4 linked regions of the Arabidopsis thaliana genome follow. The protein of the gene in region 1 purifies or fractionates together with the protein of each later gene. This does not show direct contact. Each region holds a gene or a part of one and is shown on either strand. Other genes may lie near its edges. The genes, in order: AT4G31490, AT4G08140, AT2G21390 and AT4G19006.

Region 1 (9,244 bases):
GTGACACTGAGGTTTCTCTGCCGGATGAAGGAGACTGAAATTGTGGAGCCTTTAACTCCATCAGTGTTACAAAATCTGGAGCATCGCCATCCATTTGTTCGCAGGAATGCCATTCTGGCCATCATGTCGATATATAAGCTTCCACAAGGCGACCAACTCTTTGTGGATGCGCCTGAAATGATCGAGAAAGTTCTATCAACCGAACAAGATCCTTCTGCCAAGAGAAATGCATTTCTAATGCTCTTTACCTGTGCTGAAGAACGTGCAGTGAATTATCTTCTGAGCAATGTTGACAAGGTTTCAGACTGGAATGAATCACTTCAGATGGTGGTGCTGGAGTTGATTCGAAGTGTGTGTAAGACTAAACCAGCAGAGAAGGGGAAATATATTAAGATTATTATTTCTCTGTTAAGTGCTACTTCTTCTGCAGTTATCTATGAATGTGCTGGGACACTTGTTTCTCTCTCATCTGCCCCTACTGCGATTCGGGCTGCTGCCAACACCTACTGCCAACTTCTTCTTTCTCAGAGTGACAACAATGTGAAGCTTATTTTACTCGATCGGTTGTATGAGCTTAAGACATTGCACAGAGATATCATGGTTGAGTTGATAATAGATGTGCTCAGAGCACTCTCAAGCCCAAACCTTGATATCCGCAGGAAGACGCTTGACATTTCCCTTGACTTGATTACCCATCATAATATCAATGAGGTCGTTCAAATGTTGAAGAAAGAAGTTGTGAAGACACAGAGTGGAGAACTTGAGAAGAATGGGGAGTACAGACAAATGCTTATTCAAGCCATCCACGCTTGTGCAGTGAAGTTCCCCGAAGTTGCAAGCACAGTGGTCCACCTTCTGATGGACTTCTTGGGAGATAGCAATGTGGCTTCAGCTCTTGACGTGGTTGTTTTTGTTAGAGAGATAATAGAAACAAATCCCAAGTTAAGAGTTTCAATCATCACAAGGTTATTGGACACGTTCTATCAGATCCGAGCAGGAAAGGTCTGCCCTTGTGCCCTTTGGATAATTGGGGAGTATTGCCTATCACTTTCGGAAGTTGAGAGTGGCATTTCAACTATCACGCAATGCCTTGGCGAATTACCATTTTACTCTGTTTCTGAGGAGTCTGAGCCAACTGAGACATCAAAGAAGATTCAGCCTACCTCTTCTGCCATGGTGTCCTCTAGAAAGCCAGTGATTCTTGCTGATGGAACTTATGCTACCCAAAGCGCAGCCTCTGAAACCACATTCTCCTCACCTACAGTTGTTCAAGGATCACTGACTTCTGGAAATTTGAGAGCACTGCTACTAACTGGTGATTTTTTCCTCGGAGCAGTGGTTGCTTGCACGTTGACCAAACTTGTTCTTAGGTTAGAAGAGGTTCAGTCTTCTAAAACTGAAGTAAATAAGACAGTCACACAGGCTTTGTTGATCATGGTTTCTATGTTGCAACTTGGGCAATCTCCTGTTTCTCCACACCCTATTGATAATGATTCGTATGAGAGGATTGTGTTGTGCATAAAATTGCTTTGCCATAGGAATGATGAGATGAAAAAGATATGGTTAGAATCCTGCCGCCAGAGTTTTGTCAAGATGATTTCTGAAAAACAGCTTAGAGAGATGGAGGAACTGAAGGCGAAGACCCAAACAACGCATGCTCAACCTGATGATCTAATTGACTTCTTCCATCTAAAGAGTCGGAAGGTATTATTACTTCCTAAGCTTCCCTTTGCTTTATTGGGTTTTTTTTTCCATATGAGTTTTCCTTTTCAATCTGTTCAGTTCTGTTACGTTGGTGTCTACTTTTTCTTACAGTTCATATCCAATTTTTTTTTTCGCATTCTCAAAGAAAGTTCGAAAGTTGATAGTGGCATGTTATGTTTATTTATTTCGGTCAGTAGTTGAAATTACTGACGATAAGTTTCTTTCAGGGAATGAGTCAACTTGAGTTGGAAGACCAAGTACAAGATGACCTAAAGCGTGCAACTGGAGAATTCACCAAGGACGAGAACGATGCTAACAAACTTAACCGCATTCTTCAACTCACAGGATTCAGTGACCCAGTCTATGCTGAAGCATATGTGACGGTACACCATTATGATATTGCTCTTGAAGTTACAGTAATCAACCGAACCAAGGAAACCCTTCAGAACTTGTGCTTGGAGTTAGCAACCATGGGTGATCTCAAACTTGTTGAGCGTCCTCAGAACTACAGTCTGGCACCTGAAAGAAGCATGCAGATTAAAGCAAACATCAAGGTGTCGTCCACAGAGACGGGAGTCATATTCGGGAACATCGTCTATGAGACATCAAATGTAATGGAGCGAAACGTCGTTGTTCTTAATGACATACACATTGATATCATGGACTATATCTCCCCTGCTGTGTGTTCAGAGGTTGCTTTCAGAACTATGTGGGCAGAGTTCGAATGGGAAAACAAGGTAATTTATTGAAACCTTTTATAGTTGTACCTTCTTTTCGTATGTTTGTTGGAGTTTGGTATAACCAATTCCTGTTGTATTCTTTATGTCAGGTTGCTGTGAACACCACAATACAAAACGAAAGAGAATTCCTCGACCACATTATCAAATCTACAAACATGAAATGTCTCACTGCTCCGTAAGTGTAAATTCTTCTTTCATCCTGTAGAAACGAAAAACTCTTCTTACTAATTAATACTTCTTTACTTGCAGATCCGCAATAGAAGGCGAATGTGGATTCCTTGCAGCAAACTTATACGCAAAAAGTGTATTTGGTGAGGATGCTCTTGTGAATGTGAGTATTGAGAAGCAAACGGATGGAGCATTGAGTGGTTACATAAGGATAAGGAGCAAGACGCAAGGGATTGCCCTAAGTCTTGGGGACAAAATCACCCTCAAACAAAAGGGTAGTAGCTGAGGTTAGCTAATCTTTTCAAAACATATTCTATTTCTCGATTAATACATGTTTTAATCCTTAAACCGCAATTGGTCTAAATTTCAGTACCATACCGATGATTTCTCACAGTGGCGTGCAAAGGTAACAGGTTTAGACTACGTACGTTTCTCTTGAGCAATTATCGTTGGTTGAATCTGCTTATTATATGGAGGGAGGAGGCGTTCAAGGGTATATGTAAAAAGAGTAATTGGCTATCGTTCTTACTTAACCGGTATATTTTCTGGTATGGTACCGATGGATTTCTTCATCTCATATGGCAGTGTGTTTTTTACTGTACTAGACGATTTTGTTTTATTTGTAATGCTTTTTCTTCTATAATGTCGTTTGTTGAGGACTTTAAACCGTGAACTTTATGATATTGTAGATTTCAAAGCTACATTTGGTTTGCTCCATTTTAGAACTCGTCATTTCAGATTTGATCTCTATTCTTTTCTTTCATATGCATTTGAAGTGAACTATTCAATTGTCAAAGCTAGACTTTAATTTGCTAGTAGCTATATAATACGGGTTATGTTAGCAAGTAAGTTGTAATGAAACGCATGTATTAATATGGACCATATTCAAAATCTACAAGCCAAAGAAACCAATTGCTTCACAACCAAACCCATAACATTTGATTCTTACAGCCTTTTCTATTCTCAAGAAAACCAAGCAATAATTTTTAAGCAAAATTTAATAATCTTAAATCACTTGCCTCAAGGTACCAAGGGACGATCACATACACATTCGCGTAACTAGATATCGCTAACATCATTAGACAAGAAAATACTAGACGCGAGTAGAAGAGGAAAGATCCAAATACATCATCTTCTATCATAAAATCATCCATCTCTAACCGAAAGTTGGAGCACGTTTCAAGGAAAAACTGACATAATTCCTAATTACGCTCACTTTTAAAAGTTTGGGGTCGTTTTGGAAACAATAAAAAAGTAGGGGCTATGCTTTCTCAACTTCTATTGGACTGGGCTTGTCAACAATCAATATTTGGGCCTGCGAGGTTGACTCGCTTCTTTCCGTTCTTCGTTTTCCAAACAGAAGGAAAAAAAACTAAAAAACAAAATCGGATTTGGAGGAGTAAACACAAGGGAAGACGAATCCACGATAATATTAAGGACATTTCATAATCTCTCACTTTGTGCGAGTGTTTTTTTTTCCGAGATCCAAAATCTTCTAACGGATCCAAAGCTTTGTTACTCCGTGGATCTCCTACCTTGAGGTTCGTCTCTATCTGTTAAACTTGCGACTCAGATTTCGTAGAGATCGATCCCACTTTTGCTTTTCCTTTGTGAAAATCTACAATGTTCAATATTCTCTGGCGTTCTTTGCTTGATCTCGTTGAATATTGATCCGATCCCGGTAGGCAAACGATTTTCATGTTTGTGCAGCTGAGTGAGACTGCGAACTATGTAGATTCCATTGTTTGTTCATCAAATCTGGGGAGATATATTGCATTTGTGATATGAACTTTGGTTGATCCGAAGCTTTTTTATTATTCGATTTTATGTTAATGTTTTGGTCGTAGTTGTAGTAAAAGTGATGTGTATTGCTGGATCTGAGGATTTGAATTTGTCAATGTCTTGCATCTTTGGGTCGTTGATTAGACATTACCGAATATTCTTCAGCGATTATGATGCTTTCTCATATACCGTGGATTTGAGAACATAGATGCTTTCTTCATTGTACTGAAATATATGTAGAGAGGTGTAGATTATTATTGCTGAGTAGTATTATGGGGATACTCTGAAACTTCTTGTTTAGAACTTACTCGAGCAGTGATGAAGATACTAGTAAGGTGCTTATACTAACTTAGTAATTAAAAGAAAATTCTTAAAATTTTGGATATATTGATTGTTACCTGTGATCTATACTACTTCATTTTATCTTTAAATCGATTTTCAGTATTTTAGGTTCCTATTCTCTATTCGCTTTGAATTTCTTATGTTAACATAGGTACACTTGTTCTTGCATGATTTTTCCTTTTCATATGAGCTCACAATTTTATTTTATTTTTCACTCTTTGTGCAGCACCTGAAAAGATGGACAAATCTAGTACCATGCTTGTTCACTATGACAAAGGGACTCCAGCAGTTGCTAATGAGATTAAAGAAGCTCTCGAAGGAAATGATGTTGAAGCTAAAGTTGATGCCATGAAGAAGGCAATTATGCTTTTGCTGAATGGTGAAACCATTCCTCAGCTTTTCATTACCATTATAAGATATGTGCTGCCTTCTGAAGACCACACCATCCAAAAGCTTCTGTTGCTGTACCTGGAGCTGATTGAAAAGACAGATTCGAAGGGGAAGGTGTTGCCTGAAATGATTTTGATATGCCAGAATCTTCGTAATAACCTTCAGCATCCGAATGAGTACATCCGTGGAGTGACACTGAGGTTTCTCTGTCGGATGAAGGAGACTGAAATAGTGGAACCTTTGACTCCATCAGTGTTACAAAATCTGGAGCATCGCCATCCATTTGTTCGCAGGAATGCAATTCTGGCAATCATGTCGATATATAAACTTCCACATGGCGACCAACTCTTCGTGGATGCACCTGAAATGATCGAGAAAGTTCTATCAACAGAACAAGATCCTTCTGCCAAGAGAAATGCATTTCTAATGCTCTTTACCTGTGCCGAAGAACGTGCAGTGAATTATCTTCTGAGCAATGTTGACAAGGTTTCAGACTGGAATGAATCACTTCAGATGGTGGTGCTGGAGCTGATTCGAAGTGTGTGTAAGACTAAACCAGCGGAGAAGGGAAAATATATTAAAATTATTATTTCTCTGTTAAGTGCTACTTCTTCTGCAGTTATCTATGAATGTGCTGGGACACTTGTTTCTCTCTCATCTGCCCCTACTGCTATTCGAGCTGCTGCCAACACCTACTGCCAACTTCTTCTTTCTCAGAGTGACAACAATGTGAAGCTTATCTTGCTCGATCGGTTGTATGAGCTTAAGACATTGCACAGAGATATCATGGTTGAGCTGATAATCGATGTGCTCAGAGCACTCTCAAGCCCAAACCTTGATATCCGCAGGAAGACACTTGACATTGCCCTTGACTTGATTACCCATCATAATATTAATGAAGTCGTTCAAATGTTGAAGAAAGAAGTTGTGAAGACACAGAGTGGAGAACTTGAGAAGAATGGAGAGTACAGGCAAATGCTTATTCAAGCCATCCATGCTTGTGCAGTTAAGTTCCCCGAAGTTGCAAGCACAGTGGTCCATCTTCTGATGGATTTCCTGGGAGATAGCAACGTGGCTTCAGCTCTTGACGTGGTTGTTTTCGTTAGAGAGATAATAGAAACAAATCCCAAGTTGAGAGTTTCAATCATCACCAGGTTGTTGGACACGTTCTATCAGATCCGTGCAGGAAAGGTCTGCCCTTGTGCACTTTGGATCATTGGTGAGTATTGCCTATCACTTTCAGAAGTTGAGAGTGGCATTTCAACTATTACACAATGCCTTGGCGAATTACCATTTTACTCTGTTTCTGAGGAGTCTGAGCCAACTGAGACATCAAAGAAGATTCAGCCTACCTCTTCTGCCATGGTGTCCTCTAGAAAGCCAGTTATTCTTGCTGATGGAACTTATGCTACACAAAGCGCAGCCTCTGAAACCACATTCTCCTCGCCTACAGTTGTTCAAGGATCACTGACTTCTGGAAATTTGAGGGCACTCCTTCTAACTGGTGATTTTTTCCTCGGAGCTGTGGTTGCTTGCACGTTGACCAAACTTGTTCTTAGGTTGGAAGAGGTTCAGTCTTCCAAAACTGAAGTAAACAAGACAGTATCACAGGCTTTGCTAATCATGGTTTCTATTTTGCAACTTGGGCAATCTCCTGTTTCTCCACACCCTATTGATAATGATTCGTATGAGCGGATTATGTTGTGCATAAAATTGCTTTGCCATAGGAATGTTGAGATGAAAAAGATATGGTTGGAATCCTGCCGCCAGAGTTTTGTCAAGATGATTTCTGAAAAACAGCTTAGAGAGATGGAGGAACTGAAGGCAAAGACCCAAACAACTCATGCTCAACCGGATGATCTAATTGACTTCTTCCATCTAAAGAGTCGGAAGGTAATATTATTATTTTCTAAGCTTTCCCTCGCTTTATTGTGTGTTCTTTTCCTTATGATTTTCCTTCGCACTCTGTTTAGTTTTTATCTGCTTTCTCTTACAGTTCATATCCGATTTTTTCTCCATTTTTAAAGAAAGATGGCAAAAGTATATAATGGCATGTTATGTTTATTTCTTTTGGTCTGTAGATGAGCTTACTGATGATAAATTTCTTTCAGGGAATGAGTCAACTTGAGTTGGAAGACCAGGTACAAGATGACCTAAAGCGTGCAACTGGAGAATTCACCAAGGACGAGAACGATGCTAACAAACTTAACCGCATTCTTCAACTCACAGGATTCAGTGACCCAGTCTATGCTGAAGCATATGTAACGGTACACCATTATGATATTGCTCTTGAAGTTACAGTAATCAACCGAACCAAGGAAACCCTTCAGAACTTGTGCTTGGAGTTAGCAACCATGGGTGATCTCAAACTTGTTGAGCGTCCTCAGAACTATAGTCTGGCACCTGAAAGAAGCATGCAGATTAAAGCAAACATCAAGGTCTCGTCCACAGAGACAGGAGTCATATTCGGGAACATCGTCTATGAGACATCAAATGTAATGGAGCGCAATGTTGTGGTTCTTAACGACATACACATTGATATCATGGACTATATCTCCCCTGCTGTGTGCTCAGAGGTTGCTTTCAGAACTATGTGGGCAGAGTTTGAATGGGAAAACAAGGTAATTTACCGAAACCTTTTAAAAGTATTACCTTCTTTGTTTGTTTGTTTGTTAGATTTTGGTATAACCATTGCCTGTTGTATTATTCATGTCAGGTTGCTGTGAACACCACAATTCAAAACGAAAGAGAATTCCTCGACCACATTATCAAATCCACAAACATGAAATGTCTCACTGCTCCGTAAGTGTAAATTCTTCTTTCATCCTGTAGAAACGAAAAACTCGTCTTACTAATTAATACTTCTTTACTTGCAGATCTGCAATAGCAGGTGAATGTGGATTCCTTGCAGCAAACTTATATGCAAAAAGTGTGTTTGGTGAGGATGCTCTTGTGAATTTGAGTATTGAGAAGCAAACGGATGGAACATTGAGTGGTTACATAAGGATAAGGAGCAAGACGCAAGGGATTGCTCTAAGTCTTGGAGACAAAATCACCCTCAAACAAAAGGGTGGTAGCTGAGGTTAGCTAATCTTTTGGAAACATTTTCTATCTCTCAATGCAATCCATAAATGTTTGAATCCTTAAACTTTTAATTGGTCTAATTTTCATTACCATAACGATGATTTCTCACAGGCTTGGAATGATAGCGTGCAAGGTAAAAGGTAAAAGGTTTAGGCTACGTTTCTCTCTTGAGCAATTTTTCGTTGGTTGATTCTGTTTACTACATGGAGAGAAGAGTCGTTTAAAGGATATGTAAAGAGTAATTTGTTATTATTCTTCCTAAGCCGGTATATTTTCCGGTATGGTACCGATGGATTCTTCCTCAACCGGCTGTCTTTTTACAGTACTAGACGATTTTGTTTTATTTGTAATACTTTTTCTTCTATAATCTTGTTTATCGAGGAGACTGAACTGTTGAACGCGTTATCAATAGTAGATTTCAAAGTTACATGGGTTTGTTCCATTTTAGACTCGTCATTTCATATACGATCTCTACTTCTGTTTTTTTTTTTCTTGCCTTTCGTGGTTCTCTCTTTTCGCAGAACAAAAGTTTTTCTTTTCCTACTTTTCTTTCGTATGTGACGTAGGACAACATATTGGCAAGATGCTATCCAAAGTCAAGTCTTCCACTACTTATCATTGTCAACGAAACTTCCTCATGTATTCATATTATTGTTTTTAGCAACATGTTGGTTTCTTCGTCATAAATTCATATTATTGTTTGTTAGCGACATGTTTTTGTTTTCTAGTCATATATTCACATTATAGATGTTTACTAAGATAGCTTAAAATATTGTAAACCAGAGGGAATATTAAAGGGACCCGAATATTAAACATCGGACTACTTTCTTTTCTAGTCCAAAAACAAGAGCACTGATACATTTTTATTCGTTAAAATGAGAACATAGTACTCATTAAAACAAAAAGGGATATTGCAATGAAAAATAACCATTGGTCACGCCATATCTACCAGCAGAAACGTCCTAATGATATATATAGCATCAGATGTGTTTCGTTGGTGCAAGAACGAGGTGTTCTTTCTTGTGCATAGCGAG
Region 2 (5,030 bases), about 10 Mb from region 1:
CACTTCCTCTTCTGCCCCTGCGCAGGCTTGCTGCCCTTGCTAGGTGCCACCTGCTGCTGAGTCTTCTTCGGTTGTACCGCTGGACTCACTCCCCCCTCCTACCTCTGAAGGTCCTCCTTCACCCTGTATCAGCTCAAGAAAATGCGCCTCCATACGGTCGAGCGCCTCCTGCGGAAAGTACTTGGCATTAAACTAAGCCACGAAATCTGCCCAAGACATATCCGCCTGCCTCCTCCTGGCAGTCACACTCCGCCACCACAAATGTGCATCCCCCTCTAGAAAATGCACTGCTAGATCTACCCGATACTCCGCCGAGCATCTGCTTGAACCGAAGTTCCGCTCAACCCGCGACCTCCAATTGTCGGCCTCCTCAGGACTAGTACCACCAGAAAAATAACCGGTGCCAATCCTCTGCAACTGCTCCATCATCCCCAAATAAGATGGAACCTTCTCAGCAACCGCAGCCCGCTGCTGCACCTCCGCCGCTCGTGGCGCAACTGGAGCCTCCACTGGTACCAAACCTGGTAACCGCTCCAACAACTGCCTCACAAGGCCCGCCAAACCAACCTTTGGAACCTGGGCTCCTCCGGCTGCGGCACACATCACTCCTGGGCCCTCAGCACCAACGGCATGCACACCGGTACCGACACCACCAGCCCCCACTCCGGTTGCACCAGCTATATCGGCACCAAGACCGTTCCTAACCCCGGGCTCCACAAACTCAGGTTGCGAACCCACTCTGCTCAACTGTGGCACTGTGGCCATCACTCTCGCCGGTACCCTCGAGGACTCGTCCCCTACCGCGACCACGACCGCGACCACGACCACGAACTCCAGCTCCTCTAACCATCTGCGCTACTCAAAAACAAATGGCTAAGAAACTAAAACAAACGAATATATCACAAACAACTTACCGTGGAATCTCATTTAAGGCTTGGAGAAGATGATGCTAGAACTCCAACAACACACAATTGACTAAACACTCCATAATCAATCCTCAATATGCTAACACCCTAGCTCATCCCACATCAATCAACAGGAAAATAATTCATCAATTAATTTTTCTACACATCTTAGAACCGTAATCGCTCTGATACCAAATTGAAACAACCCGACCCATTTTTTTTAAAAAAAATAATTAAATATTTCCATAAATATCTAATTAAACCAACCAATAGAATAACAATTAAACCACAAGTCAAAAATACTATTTAATGAATAAATAAATAATTCGACCAACAAAACCAAGAATAACTAACAATCCTAACCGGGTTCCAATAACCAAAAACACCAAAAATAAAACAAACGAGTTCCTAGATCATCCTCTCTTCCTTGCCATGATTCCACGATCACACTTTATCTTTACCTGTATCAACAACACAATGAGATGCGTAAGTATTATCATAAATACTTAGTGAGGCGATCCTCCCATCTACGAGCTATACACACAAGCAAATAAAAAGGTATAATCACGAATACAATACAAACAAACCAGTCATTGAACAATTCATCCAAAACACATTCACCACACCTACATATCATCACACAAAACAAATCACACAACCCTATCGCTCAGATAAGCTCATGGTCACGCACTCACCTTAACAAATTGATTCTAATAGCAATTAAACCCAGGAGAGACTCTCCTTGCGTCTGAAACAGTCCAGAAACGTCCTACAAAAAGTCCACAACCAAAAGCAACCTTGAAGCAAACTGGACAGGAAAAACCAGAAACAAGCAGTCTCAAAGACGAAACCCTCAAATACAAACTAACCGTTAACTATTCAATCTCTCCGGTGAAATCCTAGCTGCAGACGTCACAAAGCTGACCACAAAATCTCGTGCCGATCGGAAAACAGACGAGACCACGATCTCAGTTTCAATCTCCGCTGGTCCTAATTCGCGTCTGAGAAAACGTGTCTCACGAAACTGCGAATAACTCAACCAATTTGAATCCAAATCCAATTCTGTAAATTGGAGAATAACGATAAAGGACTTGGGAATAACTCTGCCAAATTTCGTTACCTTTTACCACGATTTGATATGACGAAACTGATTTCTCCCAAACCCTAACGATTCTGCTCGTTCTCCTTTTCTCTCTTTTTCTCCTTTATAAAACGAAAAGTGGCTAACCAAAGCCCTAATTTCGAGTTTACTTCTTTTATAGGCATACTCTAAGGTTTCCAATTAACCCAATCAATTAAACCGGATGATTTAAAAACAAACTCTAACTGATTTTCCGGTTCACGGGCGTTACAAAGAGGAAGTTAGAATGATGAAGATGGAAATGAACAAAGAGAGGATGGAAAAGAACAAAGAGAGAAGAAATGAAGATGATAATCGTTTTTTCCTATGGTTGTTCAATCACCATGGCAATTGGAATGTTGTGTCTATAGTAGAAAAAAACTTATTTATCGGTTTTAATTTGGTTTATTTTTGTAATAAATCTTTTCATCTTTGATTCGATATGATGAATCTAATTATGAAGACTAAGTGGGTTCGTATTCTTTTCTTATTACGAGAACATATCAATTACAGTATTGTACGTGGTTTTACAAAGCATAAGGAGATATACAAAAACAAAACAATAAGCATGTTCAAAGTGAATGTTTTGTTCGTCATTAGTATAGCCGGATTAAAAAGTTGCTAACTTGTGCTGTGAGGAGAGTTTTTTTTTTTATATATGTTCACAGGACTAATGACTCGACTTACATTGGGTTGTGATTGTAGTCTTAAGAGGATTTGGAACTAAAGCAGAACCTTAAGCTCTATGTTGAGATGGTTCAGGATCCTAATCCGGACTTGCAGAAGGCTGCTCTTGAGAGTATGAGGTAATTCTTGACTTGATTAGCTTCGGGTTTTCAGATTACTGTCTTTGAAGCTCATAATTTATAAAGTTTTTCTTTCTTTTCTGCTCCTTGTGTTCTACCCTTGTTGGAGTTTTTAATTTTTTTTTGGTTTTGTAGGCAGGAAATCCGAGCTTTAACAAGTTCAATGACTTCAGTTCCCAAACCACTAAAGTTTCTGCGTCCCCAGTATGTAACTCTTAAAGCGTTTCATGAAACAATGGCTGATTCTAATCTCAAGGTATGTCATCATTGATTTCAAGTTATTAACAATTCTTATATTGGTATGGCTTAAAAATTACATTTGCTATGTTTGCAGAAGTACATTTCTGATATCCTGTCTGTCCTGGCCCTTACCACGCTCTACAGATTGCACTATTTCTTGATAACACGAAGGTAGAACTGAGCCTTCTTTAATTCATCTAGTAGTTGTTGTCTGAGTTTGATTTGTTGATTTTGCTTTTGATATGTGATTATTTGATGTCTGCTTTTGATTAGTTGATGTCTGCTTTTGATTATTTGATGTCCGGTTTTGATTATTTGTTGTCTGCTTTTGATTAGTTTATTTGTTTCTCTGTTTAAATGCAATATATTTTTGAGTTGAGATAGCATTACATTAATATTTTAAATGCTTAGAAGAAAGTATTTGTTCTCTATGGTTAAATAAAATTCTAACACCTTTGATCAAAAAAAAAAAAAAAAAAAAAAAAATTCTAACACCTAATACTAACTTGAAGCTTTTAAAAGCTCTCTCTTAGTTATTGCGCTCAAAATTTCTCTGAATTGGTCTAAGCAATAAAAGCTAACTGTTTTTTAACTGTGATAAATGCATGTTAACTAGTGTATTTTGGAGTGGTTTACATTGGGTAAAAGTATTATCATAGTTATGGTCTATTTTATTGAATGCTTGGTAGGTTAAGTGTAAGTAAAAGCTCTATGTGATTTATTGCTCTCTGTGATCAATATCAAAGAGCTTTAACTTAACACCCTACCCTAACTTGAAGCTTCTAAAACCGCATCTATTTAACAACATAACTTCAAGCTGAAAAACACAGTTTAAATCACATAACTTCAAGCTGAAAAATCTTTCTCTTATCTTTTTAACAACCAAACCAAACAAGGTTATGGATTCCTTTAAATCTTTCCCTAATCATCTTTCAAGAGAATCAAACCATTCCACCAATTCAGTTTGAACGTTTTCCACCTAACATAGAACTTGGATCATCTGATGTCCATGTGTTTAGTACATTGGTTTGATGATCAAGAGAAAGATGAAGCGCCAATTGCAGAGAGGAAATCAAGACGCAAATGGTCTCTAATAGAAGATTTGGTCCTGATAACTAGCTGGCTGAACACGTCCAAGGATCATGTTGTTTCCAACGGGCAAAAGTCTAGAACCTTCTGGCAACGCATAACTGATTATTTTGCTACAAGTCAGAAGCTCAAAGGTTTTTGAAAAAGAAGCACATTATGCTGTAAACAGAAATTTGCAAAAATAAATGAGGGTGTGAACAAGTATGTGGGAAGCTTTATGCCTGCAACCAAACACCAAACAAGTGGCCAAAATGATGATGATTTGGTGAACTTGGCTCATCAGATTTTCTACGAGGACTATGGCGCCAATTTCACCCTTGAACATGCTTGGAGTGCGGTTCGCTATGAGCAGAACTGGTTAAGTGAGTTTCCTACAACAGGAACAGCAAAGAGAAGAAAGTGCAAAGAACAACAAAGAGAAGAAAGTGTCTGTGTTCCAGCTGGCATTGAAGAGAACCAAAGCCAAAGCAAAATTCGTTCCCCTGGAGTTAAGGCAGCTAATACCAAATTCCAAGCCAAGCCGAGTAGTGCGTCTGGTGACAATCTGAAAGAGTTACAACTTATTTGGGATATTAAGGAGAAAGATTTGGCGGCGAGAGAGAAGCTAATTAACAAAGAAGAGAAGAGAAGAGAATATTGGTCTGACTAAATTGCTTGAACAAATCTTTGCCAAAACTGAGCCTCTAACTGACATAGAGATAACTCTTAAGAACAAGCTAATCTCTGATCTATTGAATTAAGTTATTAATGTGTTCAGTTTATGTAATGTGGTTTGTAATGTGTTCCGTTTCATGCTCTTTGTTTGTTTTAAGTAGTTGTGTTTGTTTTGTTTCAGTTTATGTGTTTGTAATGTTGAATTTCAGTTTCAGT
Region 3 (9,355 bases), on another chromosome or scaffold:
GCCGACCGCCACAATTCTCCTCCCTTGCCGTCATTTCTGCCGTAAGTCTCACTCTCACATTACCTGAGGATCCTTCATTAAGTACTAAGTAATCCTAAAACGATCACAATCTCTCCTTTTATGCAGTCTGTAAATCTTGTTCACTTGCCTGCTCTGAGTGCCCAATCTGCCGAACCAAGATCTCTGATCGCCTGTTCGCCTTCCCGTCTTGACCTGCGGCAAGTATAGTCACTCTCCTACACACAGTATAAGGTAATTCCAATATTTCCCACCTTCACAAAATCTTTAAAATCCAAATTCTTTAGTTCAAAAACATTAGGCAATCTTTTTATTGAAAGACAATTGTATGTGATTTTGCAGGTATAAAGAACTATATGGAAGTCTGTTTGTTTGCTAACATTTTCCAGAACGGCAGGCTCGAATTCTTTTATTACAAGTTGTTTTTTGTTTTCTTGTATGTAATGTCTTTGTTATATCTTTCTGTTCAAAATGTGGTAAAGAAAGAGGAAACATAACATGCTAACAGAAAAATAGGAAACATATCATAGCCGTTTCATAGTAAGTTCAAAATTTGAAGTAAGTAATTAAAAATTATTTTGCTAATTCATGAAATTTGTGTACAGTTTTTTAGAAAAAACATACAGTTGTACAATGGAGAATAGTGTACGAATGCAACAGTGATACACAAGAACACCAAACTACACCAATTATCATCGATGAATTACTGCAAACCACACAAACCTTTGATCTCTTCTAACTTATATTGTAATTTTTAATTTTAATAATAATTTTTACTTAGTTATATCTATGCTAAATTCTTATTTTTTTTTAAGAAATTTAATACATACCGAATTTAATACACCAATAACACATGTAAATATTTTTGGATCAGAGTGGTTGTTACGGCCCAATGGATCTAGTGAGCCTAAATGATACGACCATATATTGTTTTTTTTTCGGTTTTCGCCAACGAGGATTTGGTTACCGAGAGTTTGTTTGAACGGTCCTCAGAAATTCGGAGCTTGTAGCTTCTCGGTGCGGTGCCTTCACTTTAATGGCGGCAATATCCCCTGTTCAATGCTTATTCTCTTGCAATTCTCATCATCATCATCAACAACGCGAGCAGGTGAATCTCTCTGTTCTTATTTCTTCATAATTAGCGAGAACTACCTTCTTCTTGTTATGACTTCATTCCTCCGTTTTTTTCAAGTAGAGTGGGTCGCTTTGGAGATTGGGTTCTAGGGTTTTAGTATCTTCGAGTCTATGGAAGCTTTCTCTGTTCTCTGGACTCCATTTGAACCGAAGGTGATTATGTTCTAGTTAACGATTTCAGTAGGATTTGGCCCTTGAAGCGATGATTCTGTGTAATGCAGTTGGATATGAGATAATTGATTGCAATCTTTTGGGTCTAATAAAACAGGAGAACTTTGATCTGTGCAGTCAAGGGAGATCCAGAAGATGCCTTTAAGAAGACTGTCGAAATCGATCGGATGATTGATGCTCTTAGAGATGCAAACCCTAGACAAGTAAGGAAACATGTCATATGCATCGTATAAATGTTGTGTTTTTGCTCTATTATCTTGAGTAAATTGAGTTTTGTTTTGTTGTTGTTGCCATTTTCATTGAACAGGTTGAGAAGATTGTTGTTGAAAATATCCTTGCTTTTGATGAGGTTTTTTGGATAAGACTAGCAGCTAGGTCGGATACTTGTAAATCAGAAGATGACAAGGCATGAGTTTATATTGTTTATGTCAATGATAGAGCAGACTTTTGATCTCTTTTGTTTCCGCTAATGCTTTGAATACGGTTTGTTTCTTACAGAAGGACTATGAGGAGTTAGCTACAACTGTGATGACTATAGTTGACTGTGTTGTGAATAAGACTCGGGTTTCTCTTTCTTCTGTGGTTTTATTGTCTCTTCTTCTTCAGCGTTTACTTAAACAGGGATAACTGAGAGTTCATTATATCCCTTTAGGAAAAGATAGAGACGTCTACTGATATTCTGAAAGGGATTTTAAGACCTGCTATAGATGGAGTGGAAGAGATTTCATGGCCGCCAAGAGATCCTGAAGCCATCAATCTAATGAAAAAGGTTTATACTAGTTGTTCTTCACTTTCTACTACATCTACACATTTTTTATATATACAACCTATATTCAGAAGGGTTATCTGGTCTTAGATTCTGTGATTTGATATCGTCATGGTTACTGAGATCAGTGTATTAACAGGAAATTATACAACGGGAAAAAGAAGGGCAATTAGATGAAGGATTTCTTTCAGAAGTTAATGCTCAGCTCCGGCAGGTAAGTGCTACAATTTGTTTTGTTTCACTTCTGAGGTCTTTCCTTTACAGTGAATAGATGTATTCTTTTGAATGTTTGAGGCTGACGATTGTTTTCAGGCAAAAGAAGATAAAGACAAACCAGGGTTATTGGCTATGCTGCAAAAAGTTCTTCAACTCTATTCTGCTACTATCCTCTCCAAGCGTAGCTACGCAAAGAAAGGTGATTTGCCCAATTTTGAAAACTATGCCAAGTCACTCTAAACCATTTTCTACGAACATAATCTCATCCACTATAGCTATTGTCACAGGGAACGAAGTTGTAAAAGCCGAGCATTTTCTTGAAACTCTGATCAAAGGTCTGTTCTGCAACCACTTTTCCATGTACTATAGACCCCAGCCAGACTTCACATCGGTTTATTATGTGTGTTTCAGCTCCTGAGGAACAATGGAACAAGCTTTTCGTAGACGGGTTAACAATCGGAAAAGGAGATATCACACCTGATGAGCTATCTGCTGTTATCAAGAAACGAATCGAGCGCACACTGATTCGAACTGTAAGTAACATACCATGACACATTTGCTTGCATTGTTATTATTCTCTTCAGGAGTGAATGCGAGGCTAACCGGGTTTTGGGTTGGGGTTTTAACCAGATATTGTTTTCTAAAATTCATCATTCTAACCACAACTATTCTGATCATACCAGGAAGGGGGTTCATACCAGCAGCGAATTTTGACCGAGTATCTCAAAGGAATCGAGTCCAGGGCTAATGAAATTATGAAATTACTCCAGGGTTAATGTCGTAAATCATGTATTTATCTATACATTTTTGTGTAATATCAGTTCAATAACCCCAATTAATATATTGTTTTCTCTCATGTAATAATTTTTTGATTGAGCATTTGAAGTGTTATCTGATTTAAAAATATGAAGCTCTGTAGTCAAAATTTTACAGATTTTAATTATCTTGGAATAAAAAATGTAAAGTTGATGCTTCCATATAAAATAAAAGTAAAAATGAGTAATTCATGCCAATTAAATTAGCGAGACGCAAATTGGAGACAGAGATAACTGAGCGGAGGGATTCAGATCTATACGACGAAACTGAATCTCACCGTCTTCTTCTTCTTCTTCTTCTTCTAGACGATCCTTGTGTTTCTCTTGCTCTCGCATCCACGCTTCTCTGGTAATGCTACTGATCGTCACCGTGAAGCTGAGCTTGATCGCTTCCCCTTGTGAACTGATCTGATCTGAGGTGAATCTCTATTTCTTCTCCTTCTTCATTGTACGAATCTCGATTTCTCGGATCTTGCTGCTTCTTATCGTTAGATCTGTTTTCAATTTCACGTGGATTACGTTTTTTTTCTTCCTTTTGCGGGTTTTTCGATTTCTTTGAACTGATCTTTCTCCATGATTTTCATTCTCTGTTGATCTGGTTTTTGTAGAGTTGTTTCTGTTTCGTAATCTGTGAATATGCTGACCAAGTTCGAGACCAAGAGTAACCGAGTTAAGGGTCTGAGTTTCCACCCTAAACGACCATGGATTCTCGCGAGTTTACACAGTGGTGTGATCCAGCTCTGGGATTATCGTATGGGTACTTTGATCGACAGATTTGATGAGCACGAAGGACCTGTTCGTGGTGTTCATTTCCACAACTCACAGCCTTTATTCGTCTCTGGAGGTATGCTTTGTTATTGGTAGGCCAATAAGTCTGTTTATTACACTTTCATGATCGATAAATCCTGATCTGCTTAAGTATTAACCCTTAGCTAGTTAGCTTCCTCGGTTCCTAGATCTAGCTTGGTCTCCCAACCTTTGTTTAATGGATGACTTAAGCTCTTATAGTCCCAGCTGGAGTAAATAATTTGTGTTTAAGTTACTTATATAACATATTGGATGATTTGGACCTAGTGCATTGAAACCAGATCTTATGGTACATGTTGCATAGTATTTTATTTGAACATAAGTAAGTACTCAAACAACTAGAAATGCAAATGGCTTGGATTCTTCTTCGTTACAGTTATAATGCTCTTACAGAACATTACTCATATGTAGTTGATGGCATTGATTACATTGGATGTTGCAGGGGATGATTACAAGATTAAAGTTTGGAACTACAAAACTCACAGGTGTCTTTTCACTCTTCTCGGGCATCTTGATTATATCCGCACTGTCCAATTTCACCACGAAAACCCATGGATTGTGAGTGCTAGTGACGATCAGACTATCCGCATTTGGAACTGGCAGTCTAGGACTTGTATTTCCGTGTTGACTGGTCACAATCATTATGTTATGTGTGCTTCTTTCCATCCAAAGGAAGATCTTGTTGTATCAGCATCACTGGATCAGACTGTCCGTGTTTGGGACATTGGTGCTCTTAAGAAGAAGTCAGCATCTCCTGCTGATGACCTCATGCGATTTAGTCAGATGAATTCTGATCTTTTTGGAGGGGTTGACGCTATAGTTAAGTACGTCCTTGAAGGTCATGATAGAGGAGTCAACTGGGCTTCTTTTCATCCCACACTTCCTCTCATTGTCTCTGGTGCCGATGACCGCCAAGTAAAGCTGTGGCGTATGAATGGTATTTCTTATGGATATCTGTCTTCTTCTTCACAGAAAGTTAATTTTATGAATCATTGAGGTACTGATGCGTTTCAATTTTGTTGCAGAAACTAAAGCTTGGGAGGTGGATACATTGCGAGGTCATATGAATAACGTTTCATCCGTTATGTTCCATGCAAAACAGGACATTATCGTGTCAAACTCTGAGGATAAAAGCATCCGTGTCTGGGATGCTACCAAGCGAACTGGAATCCAAACTTTTCGTCGTGAGCATGACCGATTCTGGATTCTTGCAGTTCACCCTGAGATTAATCTACTTGCAGCAGGACATGACAATGGTATGATTGTTTTCAAACTTGAGAGAGAACGTCCTGCATTTGCTTTGAGTGGTGATTCGTTATTCTATGCCAAAGATAGATTTCTGCGGTACTATGAATATTCAACTCAAAAAGATTCCCAAGTTATTCCTATACGGCGTCCTGGTACCCCAAGCTTGAATCAAAGTCCGAGGACTTTATCCTACAGTCCGACAGAAAATGCAGTCTTAATCTGCTCAGATCTGGATGGTGGTTCTTACGAGTTGTACATCATACCGAAAGATAGCGTTGGCAGGAGTGATGTTGTACAAGATGCAAAGAGGGGGACAGGGGGTTCTGCGGTGTTCATTGCTCGAAATCGGTTTGCTGTTCTGGAGAAAAGCACCAGCCAGGTGTTAGTGAAGAATCTAAAGAATGAGGTGGTTAAAAAGAGTTCTTTACCTATTCCCACAGATGCTATCTTTTATGCTGGGACTGGAAATTTGCTTTGTAGATCTGAGGATAAAGTGGTTATATTTGACCTTCAACAAAGGCTTGTTCTTGGTGAGCTTCAGACACCGTTTGTTAGGTACGTTGTTTGGTCTAACGATATGGAGAGTGTTGCTTTGCTCAGCAAACATACTATCATTATTGCGAGCAAAAAACTTGTCCTACAGTGCACGCTTCATGAGACAATACGTGTGAAAAGTGGAGCATGGGACGACAATGGTGTCTTCATTTACACTACTCTGAACCACATCAAGTACTGTCTGCCTAATGGAGATAGTGGAATCATCAGAACCCTGGATGTCCCAATCTACATCACCAAGGTGTCTGGAAATACAATCTTTTGCTTGGACCGGGATGGGAAAAACAGGGCTATCACCATTAATGCAACCGAATACATTTTCAAGCTTGCACTACTGAGAAAGAAATATGATCATGTCATGAGCATGATAAAGAACTCCCAGCTATGTGGACAGGCTATGATCGCTTATCTTCAGCAGAAAGGATTTCCTGAAGTTGCCCTACACTTTGTTGAAGACGAGAGGATCCGATTCAACTTGGCTCTTGAAAGTGGCAACATCAGTGTAGCTGTTGCATCCGCTACAGAGATTAATGAGAAAGACCACTGGTATAGACTCGGAGTGGAAGCTCTTCGTCAAGGAAATTCTAGAATTGTTGAGTTTGCGTACCAGCAGACAAAGAACTTTGAGAGGTTATCTTTTCTATATCTCATTACTGGCAATTTAGACAAGCTGTCAAAGTTGATGAAGATTGCAGAGGTGAAGAACAATGTAATGGGTCAGTTTCACAATGCACTCTACCTAGGAGATGTTAAAGAGCGTGTTAAGATACTAGAGAATGCTGGTCATTTGCCTCTAGCTTATATCACAGCTTCGGTTCATGGTTTAACTGACATTGCTGAGCGACTAGCAATTGAGCTAGGAGACAATGTGCCTTCATTGCCTGAAGGGAAGACTCCATCGCTTTTAATGCCACCGTCTCCCATCATGTGTGGTGGTGATTGGCCTCTACTGAGAGTGATGAAAGGAATATTTGAAGGAGGACTTGAGAGTGCAAACAGAGGGGCTGTTGATGAAGAAGAAGAAGATGTTGAAGGCGACTGGGGTGAGGGACTTGACAAATTCGATGTTGATGGAATGGAGAACACAGACATCGAAGCCATATTGGATGGTGCAGAAGCAGGTGAAGAAGAAGACGACGAGGAAGGTGGATGGGGACTTGACTTGGATCTTCCACCAGAGCTTGACACTCCTAAAGCCTCTGCTAACGCACGTTCATCTACTTTTGTGACACCTCCTCAAGGTATGCCCGTAAGTCAGATTTGGAGTCAGAAATCTTCCCTTGCTGCTGAGCAGGCTGCAGCAGGAAGCTTCGACACTGCAATGCGTTTGCTCCACAGGCAGCTTGGCATTAAGAACTTTGCGCCTTTGAAATCGATGTTTCTTGATCTGTTCAGTGGGAGCCATAGCTATCTGCGTGCCTTTTCTTCATCTCCTGTGGTTCCTCTTGCCATTGAGCGTGGATGGAGTGAGTCTTCCAGTCCTAACGTCCGTGGCCCGCCAGCTCTTGTTTTTGATTTCTCTCAGCTTGAAGCAAAGCTCAAATCCGGCTACAAAGCTACAACAGCTGGGAAACTATCTGAGGCTCTTCGTGTCTTCCTCTCTATTCTCCAAACCATCCCATTGGTGGTAGTTGAGTCAAGAAGAGAAGTAGATGAGGTTAAGGAACTGGTCATCATTGTTAAAGAATATGTCCTCGGTCTTCAATTGGAGCTCAAGAGGAGAGAGATGAAAGATGATCCGGTGAGGCAGCAAGAGCTCGCTGCTTACTTCACTCACTGTAAACTTCAAACACCTCACCTACGGCTCGCGTACTTCAGTGCAATGACCGTCTGCTACAAGTCAAAGAACATGGCTACTGCTGCTCACTTCGCCAGAAGTTTGTTGGATACAAACCCAACTATTGAGAGCCAGGCCAGGACGGCTAGACAAGTTATGCAAGCAGCTGAACGCAACATGACAGATGCAACAACACTCAACTACGACTTTAGAAACCCGTTTGTGATATGCGGGTCCACTTATGTGCCAATCTACAAAGGACAGAAAGACGTTGCATGTCCTTACTGCACTGCCCGGTTTGTACCAAGCCAGGAAGGTAACATTTGCTCGGTCTGTGATCTTGCAGTCATTGGCGCAGACGCATCTGGCTTGCTATGCTCTGCCTCTCAAGTCCGGTGAACAAGTCAGAATGATTATGTGCTTCAATCGTGAGGTAAGTACGAGATGCTCTTTTATGGAAGAAGAGTGTTGAGCTTTTGGTGTTTGTGAATTTTCCGCTGCAACTTCTATTACTCTTTAAAGTCTTTATGTTGTTTCTTATCTTAGTAACAAACGCATGAGAACTTTATCTTCTTGCTTTATCTCTTTTTGTTTGATTTTATTTTTACAGTCTCAGGACATTTCATTTAGGCTTATCGGATTTTAAACTCGATTGAGAAATATAGACGTAATATTTTATAAATTTTCAGAATTGTATCCATTTTCTTTTGGTGAATTTTCAGTTGATGCCTAATTTACTATTCCAAATACTTATAAAATTATCGAAAAAGTTAGAAATATCCAATAAATGTGGTTAGTTAGATGAACCGTTAAGACTGGTAGATAAGCTCACGGACAAACTCTCGAAATGACTCGATCACAGCTGCCTCTTTACTTCTTTTCTGTTTTTTAATTTGTCCGGTCGCTTGAATTTGAGTGTGAGAGAATTTTCCACACATTTGTCTTCCAAAACTATCAAGATCATGTAGCTGCTTCATGGATCCTCAAAGCAACTACATGAACGCTTCCTAGCGAAACATGACCGTTGATAGTCATGCCAGTCATGTCATGGAACCCCCTCCGGCACACGAATGATGGAGTTTTGTCCACTGTCAAACTGCATTCTAAAAAGCTTTCCAACTTCTGGATAAACAGAATCCTATGATGAACACCATCCATATCAATCGACGAATCTCAAGTTCTCGTCCAAAACATTAAACATTCGTGATCTGGTCCAAAACACTAAAGACTAAAAATTCACTTGATTAGAGTTAAACTGTTTAAGAACTTCCCACCTTTCAAATCGATGTTTCTTGATCTGTTCACTGAGAGCCATAGCTATCTGCGTGCCTGTCCTAAAGGTGATTTTTGGTTTGTGTTCCATACTATTTCTATATATAGAGGCTGATATAGTGTGATGATGTAGCTTATATGGACGGATTGAGAGCATGATTCTGCAAATATGATATTTTTATGTAATCGAGTTACAAAAATTTGACACAATAATCTTGATTTATACCAAGCAATTTGCAAGGAATATGAATAAAATTACGGCCGACAATGGTACAAAGCATCGATCATTTATAATTCATATAGAAAATATAACCATAAGAGCCCCACTCATCATCATTATAAGAAATCTGTGGGATAGATATACATGAGTATAATATAGTTTTATATGTAACCGGATAAAATTATTCCGTTGTTGTATAGTGGAGAAAAACCGCATAAACTTCCCGAAAATAGAAAAGAATAAGCAACCCCCACACAACTTTTGCGATAAAACTAATCACTACAAGAGTTGTCACTGAAAGCATCTAAAAATGGTTAAGTTGGGGAATGCAAAAAACTTCACACCTGAAACCACAT
Region 4 (6,502 bases), 4.9 Mb from region 1:
AAGCTGCATTGCATTGCGTGGCTACTAACAAGAACAAACAAAAAAATTGGCGAGTAACCTTATCGAGAGCACTATTACTCTTTCTCTTCCTCGACCCAAACTTTCCAGTCACCGGAACCGAGCATACACTGTCAAAATTTCCATCCACCGCCCTAAATCTCGGCGACCTCCGAAGCTGACAACCGTTCGTCAAAGTAAGCAGCGGCTGTGACTTACCACGAGAGAACTTCCTCTGCGAAACTCCCCCTTTGGTAACCGGAACCGAGCATACATTGTCGAAATTTGCATGCAGGGCCCTAAATCTCGGCGACCTCCGAAGCTGACAACCGTTCGTCAACATAAGCAGCGGCTGTGACTTACCACGAGATGACTTCCTCTGCGAAACTCTCCCTTCTCCTCCGTTCTCTTCAGGCGAATTACAATTAAGCGTCGTGGATCTCCTCAAACTCATCTCTCCGTTGTCGGGGAGCTTTATGAGTTCTCTAGTAGAGGACGGAGCAGCTTCTTCAGGATTGGGACACCAGAGGACAAGAGAGAGACATTCCGGTTCAGATCTAGAAGAAGAATGGAGATCCAATGGAGCTTGAGCCTCTTCTGACTCACATTTGGCCGGCGATAACATCAGAGAATATAAAGAATCTAAAAGGGATCCAAAGTAGCCAATAGGGAAACAAAACTGAAAAAGGGAAGAAATCAAGTGAGTGTGTATTTTTTGACTATTGTACTTTTTTTGCTAACAGACTGTCACGTGTCACACGTGATCTTCTTGCACTCTCTGTTCTTCGAAATCAATTAATTGCAATTAGTACATAATAATAGTGTTACAACTAAATTAATTATTTTACTAAACTATTCCGTCGTTGGTTTATTTCCCGATCAGAAGTAAATATTGATCGCTGCAGAATCTTAAACTCTGCTTCTCTCTAATGGCGGCGACACATCTTCACATACCGCCAAATCCTAAAACCCAAACGTCTCACCAAAACCCTCCCTTTTGGTTCTCTTCTAAAACAGGAATCTACACCAGCAAATTCCCTTCCCTACACCTCCCCGTCGACCCAAATCTCGACGCCGTCTCCGCTCTTTTCTCACACAAACACCACGGCGATACAGCGCTCATCGATTCCTTAACCGGGTTCTCAATATCTCACACTGAGCTACAGATTATGGTTCAATCAATGGCGGCTGGGATCTATCACGTTTTAGGTGTTCGTCAAGGTGACGTTGTATCACTCGTCTTGCCTAATTCCGTCTATTTTCCGATGATTTTCCTCTCTTTGATCTCGCTTGGTGCTATTGTTACTACCATGAATCCTTCGAGTAGTTTAGGAGAGATTAAGAAGCAAGTTAGTGAGTGTAGTGTTGGATTAGCTTTTACTTCTACTGAAAACGTTGAGAAGCTGAGTTCTTTGGGGGTTAGTGTGATTAGTGTATCTGAAAGTTACGATTTTGATTCGATTCGTATCGAAAACCCGAAGTTTTACTCCATTATGAAAGAAAGTTTTGGGTTTGTACCAAAACCGTTGATTAAGCAAGACGATGTAGCTGCAATTATGTATTCATCTGGAACAACTGGAGCTAGTAAAGGAGTTTTGTTAACTCATAGGAATTTGATAGCATCAATGGAGCTTTTTGTGAGGTTTGAAGCTTCTCAGTACGAATATCCGGGATCGAGTAATGTTTATCTAGCAGCTTTGCCTTTGTGCCATATCTACGGGTTATCACTCTTTGTGATGGGATTGTTGTCTCTGGGATCAACTATTGTTGTTATGAAGAGGTTTGATGCTTCTGATGTTGTTAATGTAATTGAAAGGTTTAAGATCACTCATTTCCCGGTTGTTCCACCTATGTTGATGGCATTGACAAAGAAGGCAAAAGGAGTTTGTGGTGAAGTGTTTAAAAGTTTGAAGCAAGTTTCTTCTGGAGCAGCTCCTTTGAGTAGGAAGTTCATTGAAGATTTCCTTCAGACTCTTCCTCATGTCGATTTGATTCAGGTCTCTGAATTTTACTTTTGGATGTCGTTTTAGAAAACTGAATTAAATGTTATTCATTCATAAACTCAATAAGAAGTAGAATCTACATTTTTTAGAAAAATTTGACATCTCTTCCCAAAAGAAACAACTAAAATTGATTTAACGAGGCCATGACTTTTTGACTCACACTATTATTTTCTTTACATTTAGCTGAAAGTGTGTATAAAATGGATCACATTTTGTTGCAGGGATATGGAATGACTGAATCAACTGCAGTTGGAACACGGGGCTTCAACTCGGAAAAGCTTAGTAGGTATTCTTCTGTGGGACTACTGGCTCCTAATATGCAAGCCAAGGTAGTAGATTGGAGCTCTGGTTCTTTCCTTCCACCAGGAAACCGAGGAGAGCTCTGGATACAAGGTCCCGGTGTCATGAAAGGTAGATAGATTCTTCCTACTGTACTTCTTTACCAAAATAGTTGAGATTTTCCTTCTCAGTTCATGAATAAAGTCTTTTGTCAATGGTTCAAATCACTGAGAAACACTTGCATCCTAATAAATGTAAATATAGATTGGATCTTCCAACTTTCGTGGGGCTTATTTGGTGCTTGTGTTGATAGATTAGGCTTATTATCTTGTTCTTGATTTTGTGCTACATATTTTTATGGAACAGTTTTAATTTTACTTGGAGAGAATCTGAACACCGTTCATTTGTCTGTCAGGATACTTGAATAACCCAAAAGCAACTCAGATGAGTATAGTTGAAGATAGTTGGCTACGTACTGGGGATATTGCTTATTTTGATGAAGATGGTTACTTGTTTATTGTTGACCGTATTAAGGAGATTATAAAGTACAAAGGCTTTCAGGTAAAGGAACAGCAGTTTCTCTTTCAGCCAACTCTAAATTAGGAAATATTAATTCTTTGCATTTATGGTTTTTGCAGATCGCTCCAGCAGATTTGGAGGCTGTTCTTGTTTCACATCCCTTGATTATCGACGCTGCAGTAACAGCGTAAGTTCGAAAAAACAAATCTTGATCATTTACTAAACTAGTTTAATAAGTGAAAGATACTGCAAATCCAGTTTTGGAGAATTCGACAGAGTCTGTTACTCTACTGAAAGTATCCAAACTTTCCATTTCAGTGCCCCAAATGAAGAATGTGGAGAGATTCCGGTAGCATTCGTTGTCCGGAGACAAGAAACAACACTTTCAGAAGAAGATGTAATAAGCTATGTAGCTTCTCAGGTTAGGTTCCCACTAATTCAAAATGGCTTTTCCCATTTCAAAACACTGATCATTAATGTAATACATTATTATACATTACGTGTTCTAGGTTGCACCCTACAGGAAGGTGAGGAAAGTGGTGATGGTCAACTCTATACCAAAATCTCCAACTGGGAAGATATTGAGAAAGGAACTAAAGAGAATTCTTACAAACTCTGTTTCTTCAAGACTATGATTCTTTCTTCATTTGTTTGGTAATAAGTAGCAGACAGAGAGATCCACTAATATAGCCTTCATAACTCAATTCATTGGTTTTGTAGCATCAAAAGAAATAAACAGACACATTCTTTGATTCTCAGTGAATAAAGCATTGTAACCCAATACGGAAACAAAAATTCTTTCTGAGCCCAAAATGTAATTTTAGCCTTAGTATTTTATTTACATAAAAGTCCTTTTAATCGTTGGCTATTGCATTTATCGCCCAATACTTGTCTTTGAGCTCAAGAAATATAGTTTACTAAAAGGCTGGGTTTTTCTGGATTTCTTACTCCCAAACCGATACAAGATCGAAGCTTTGCCTTCTGTTTCTTCGAAAATCTACCATGGCTGCTCTACAATACCTTGAATCGCAGAAAAATGCGCACCCAGAGCTTGGTGAGTGGTACAATTCGCTCGCAGATCTGTACCAGAAGAAGCTCTGGCATCAGCTCACTCTTAAGCTCGAGCAGTTCATCGCTCTCTCTGTCTTTCAGGTCAATCTCTTGAATTTTCATCGTTTCGTAGTTCTTCTGTGTGATTAGGGTTCATAGATCTCGAGAAAGTTAATAGGAGTCGTCATGTTAGACTTGGGTTTATAGAGAGATCTGAAGGATTCGTTCCGACTCTTAGGTGATTTTTCAGATTCATTGAAAAGCTTTGTATTGGTGAATTATCGCACTTCTGTGACCAAAGCTTTCGAATATTTTAGCTCAGAGATACCCAAAAACTCAGCTTTACAAGGTTTACAGATTTGTTAATGACGTGTTTCCCCCTGTTTATGTTCATAATCTTTGCAGGCTGGAGATGCTTTAATACAGCTTTACAACAATTTCATCACTGACTTTGAGACGAGGATCAATCTTCTGAAGCTTGCGCATTTCGCTGTTGTAGTCTCCCGACAGTATCCTGAGAAAGAAGCTGCAGTTAGTTATCTTGAAGGAGTGATTGAGAAGCTTAAAGCTACTAAAGAGTCAAGGATAAATGAACCAATTAGCTATATAGAAACACAAATAGCTTTGTTCAAGCTTGAGCAAGGTGACCAGAAGGAGTGCAAGAAAATCTTGGACGATGGAAAAAGCCTGCTTGATAGTATGACTGACATTGATCCATCAGTTTATGCCAACTTCTTTTGGGTCTCTTCTCAGTACCATAAAGTCCGTCAAGAGTTCTCTGAGTTCTATAAAAATGCTCTTCTTTACCTCGCTTATACGTCTGTGGACTCACTCTCGGAATCATTTAAGCTGGTACGTCCCTCTGAATGTTCTAATCATTCATATATGATATATGTAGTCGTTACGTTACCAAATGGTCTTTTAGCAATTTTGGATAAGTATTAGCACTCTATGAAAGGAAACTTACAGTGAAAAATGCTTTATCTCTGTAAATTGCTTTGTGTTCCAATCAAAATGTTAATATCATATACTTTCGTTTCTTTCAGGATTTGGCTTTTGATTTGTCGCTTTCAGCTCTACTTGGGGAGAATATCTATAACTTTGGGGAACTGTTAGCCCATCCAATTGTAAGTTTCCCTTCATCCTCCAAATTAGCAAACCACAGATTTATTCACCATTATAGATAAAAGAACACTGACATGTTATATATGTTATGGCAGTTGAAAAGTCTGCTTGGAACAAATGTGGAATGGCTTTACCACATTCTACAAGCATTCAACCACGGAGATTTAGTTCAGTACCAAGAACTCTGTCGTGTGCACAATGCATCGTTGAGTGCTCAACCAGCACTGGTTGAGAATGAGAAGAAACTATTAGAGAAGATCAACATTCTCTGCCTTATTGAGATCATTTTCAGGTATTCATTCTCTGTAGGAGTCATCTTATACCCATATACAGATGAAAACAAACTTAGTACTTAACTTGTATATAACATCTTTGCCACAGCCGACCTGCTGAAGATAGGACCATACCTTTGAGTGTCATTGCCGAGCGTACTAAACTTTCAATCGAAGATGTTGAGCACCTTCTCATGAAGAGCTTATCGGTGAGTACCTTTTTCTTTCCTCTCTCTTTCTCTCTATCTCATTCTATCAGTAACATTAAAAATCTAAAGAAGATTGGCAAGACGCAGACTCGAAATCTTCTTGAATGTGTGATTCTGTATTGGTTGATTGTGAAAACTGAGGAGAATGAGTTATTGCAGGTGCACTTGATAGAGGGAATACTAGATCAGGTGAATGGAACAGTTTACGTCTCATGGGCGCAACCGAGGGTGTTAGGAATACCGCAGATCAAGTCATTGAGGGATCAGCTAGACAGCTGGGTCGATAAGGTTCACACCACATTGTTATCTGTTGAGGCCGAGACACCTGATCTTGTTGCAGCTTAAACTCTTCTTTCCTCTTTTTTCCTTCACTGTTCGTTTAAGCTACAGATTGTAACATTCTCTGAGGATTAAATGCAACTTCCTTTTAAGTTTTTAGGTATTACAGTTATACTTTTGAACTTTGTTCTCCACAGACACATGAATCTATCCTATTAAGTTGAGTTTCATCGTTAGTGTTGCCTTTAAGGCTTAAGCCTATTTGCATAACAAATGGTCCAACTTTTGTTATTAGACGTGTGAAAAACTCATAAATCTCAAATAGTGGAATGAATCCAAATTGTCAACTTCTGAAATGAAAAGTGTAAGGGTAAAATAGTCAAAACATATTAAACCCCAATTATCACCATCGTTTCGTTTCAATCAAAATTTTCCGATTTTGAGATTTTGAAACAGAGCAGTCAAGTCTCAAAGACTCCAGCTCATCTGTCTGCTTCGTAAGCTGCTCGCTCTCTAAATGTTTTGTCTTCTGGGGAATAGATTTTAGGGATCATCGGTAGATGCTGTTGGATTGACATAATCCAGATCTGATTTCTTCTACAAAAACATAGCTTTCTTCTCTGGGAACAATAGATTTTGATTGTTGTTTCTGGGTTTTAGATTTCTAATGTTGGGGTTTTGGTGATTCGATTTCTCAATAATGCTTCAAAATCGAAAATTGAATCGGTTAGAGCTATTTTGGGAATCTCTTTGCGTTAATTCGAATTAG

Evidence for each region.
Region 2: the proteins of AT4G31490 (region 1) and AT4G08140 fractionate together in Arabidopsis thaliana (co-fractionation; one large-scale study listed by BioGRID). This does not show direct contact.
Region 3: the proteins of AT4G31490 (region 1) and AT2G21390 fractionate together in Arabidopsis thaliana (co-fractionation; one large-scale study listed by BioGRID). This does not show direct contact.
Region 4: the proteins of AT4G31490 (region 1) and AT4G19006 fractionate together in Arabidopsis thaliana (co-fractionation; one large-scale study listed by BioGRID). This does not show direct contact.

What each region holds. Positions count from the first base shown.
Region 1 is NC_003075.7:15,264,487-15,273,730, forward strand, and holds AT4G31490 (Coatomer, beta subunit), read left to right. Parts: upstream 1-3,959; 5' UTR 3,960-4,153; exon of another isoform or gene 4,154-4,729; intron 4,730-4,962; 5' UTR 4,963-4,973; coding exon 4,974-7,019; intron 7,020-7,237; coding exon 7,238-7,747; intron 7,748-7,842; coding exon 7,843-7,928; intron 7,929-8,002; coding exon 8,003-8,207; 3' UTR 8,208-8,208; intron 8,209-8,321; 3' UTR 8,322-8,744; downstream 8,745-9,244. Other genes in the region: AT4G31480 (Coatomer, beta subunit), read left to right, coding at 1-1,704, 1,932-2,441, 2,534-2,619, 2,694-2,898; CYP83B1 (cytochrome P450, family 83, subfamily B, polypeptide 1), read right to left, coding at 9,191-9,244. UniProt on the Arabidopsis thaliana protein: The coatomer is a cytosolic protein complex that binds to dilysine motifs and reversibly associates with Golgi non-clathrin-coated vesicles, which further mediate biosynthetic protein transport from the ER, via the Golgi up to the trans Golgi network.
Region 2 is NC_003075.7:5,132,895-5,137,924, forward strand, and holds AT4G08140 (26S proteasome non-ATPase regulatory subunit-like protein), read left to right. Parts: upstream 1-2,778; coding exon 2,779-2,831; intron 2,832-2,966; coding exon 2,967-3,087; intron 3,088-3,165; coding exon 3,166-3,246; downstream 3,247-5,030.
Region 3 is NC_003071.7:9,148,672-9,158,026, forward strand, and holds AT2G21390 (Coatomer, alpha subunit), read left to right. Parts: upstream 1-3,268; 5' UTR 3,269-3,538; intron 3,539-3,728; 5' UTR 3,729-3,756; coding exon 3,757-3,964; intron 3,965-4,369; coding exon 4,370-4,864; intron 4,865-4,952; coding exon 4,953-7,906; 3' UTR 7,907-8,235; downstream 8,236-9,355. Other genes in the region: AT2G21380 (Kinesin motor family protein), read left to right, coding at 1-41, 127-212; AT2G21385 (uncharacterized protein), read left to right, coding at 1,055-1,126, 1,214-1,305, 1,421-1,526, 1,631-1,729, 1,822-1,887, 1,976-2,092, 2,229-2,303, 2,402-2,504 and 3 more. UniProt on the Arabidopsis thaliana protein: The coatomer is a cytosolic protein complex that binds to dilysine motifs and reversibly associates with Golgi non-clathrin-coated vesicles, which further mediate biosynthetic protein transport from the ER, via the Golgi up to the trans Golgi network.
Region 4 is NC_003075.7:10,408,646-10,415,147, reverse strand, and holds AT4G19006 (Proteasome component (PCI) domain protein), read left to right. Parts: upstream 1-3,680; 5' UTR 3,681-3,800; coding exon 3,801-3,950; intron 3,951-4,253; coding exon 4,254-4,700; intron 4,701-4,894; coding exon 4,895-4,975; intron 4,976-5,068; coding exon 5,069-5,265; intron 5,266-5,354; coding exon 5,355-5,799; 3' UTR 5,800-6,000; downstream 6,001-6,502. Other genes in the region: CMT2 (chromomethylase 2), read right to left, coding at 59-622; AT4G19010 (AMP-dependent synthetase and ligase family protein), read left to right, coding at 927-1,994, 2,222-2,411, 2,695-2,840, 2,918-2,985, 3,117-3,219, 3,308-3,433. UniProt on the Arabidopsis thaliana protein: Acts as a regulatory subunit of the 26S proteasome which is involved in the ATP-dependent degradation of ubiquitinated proteins.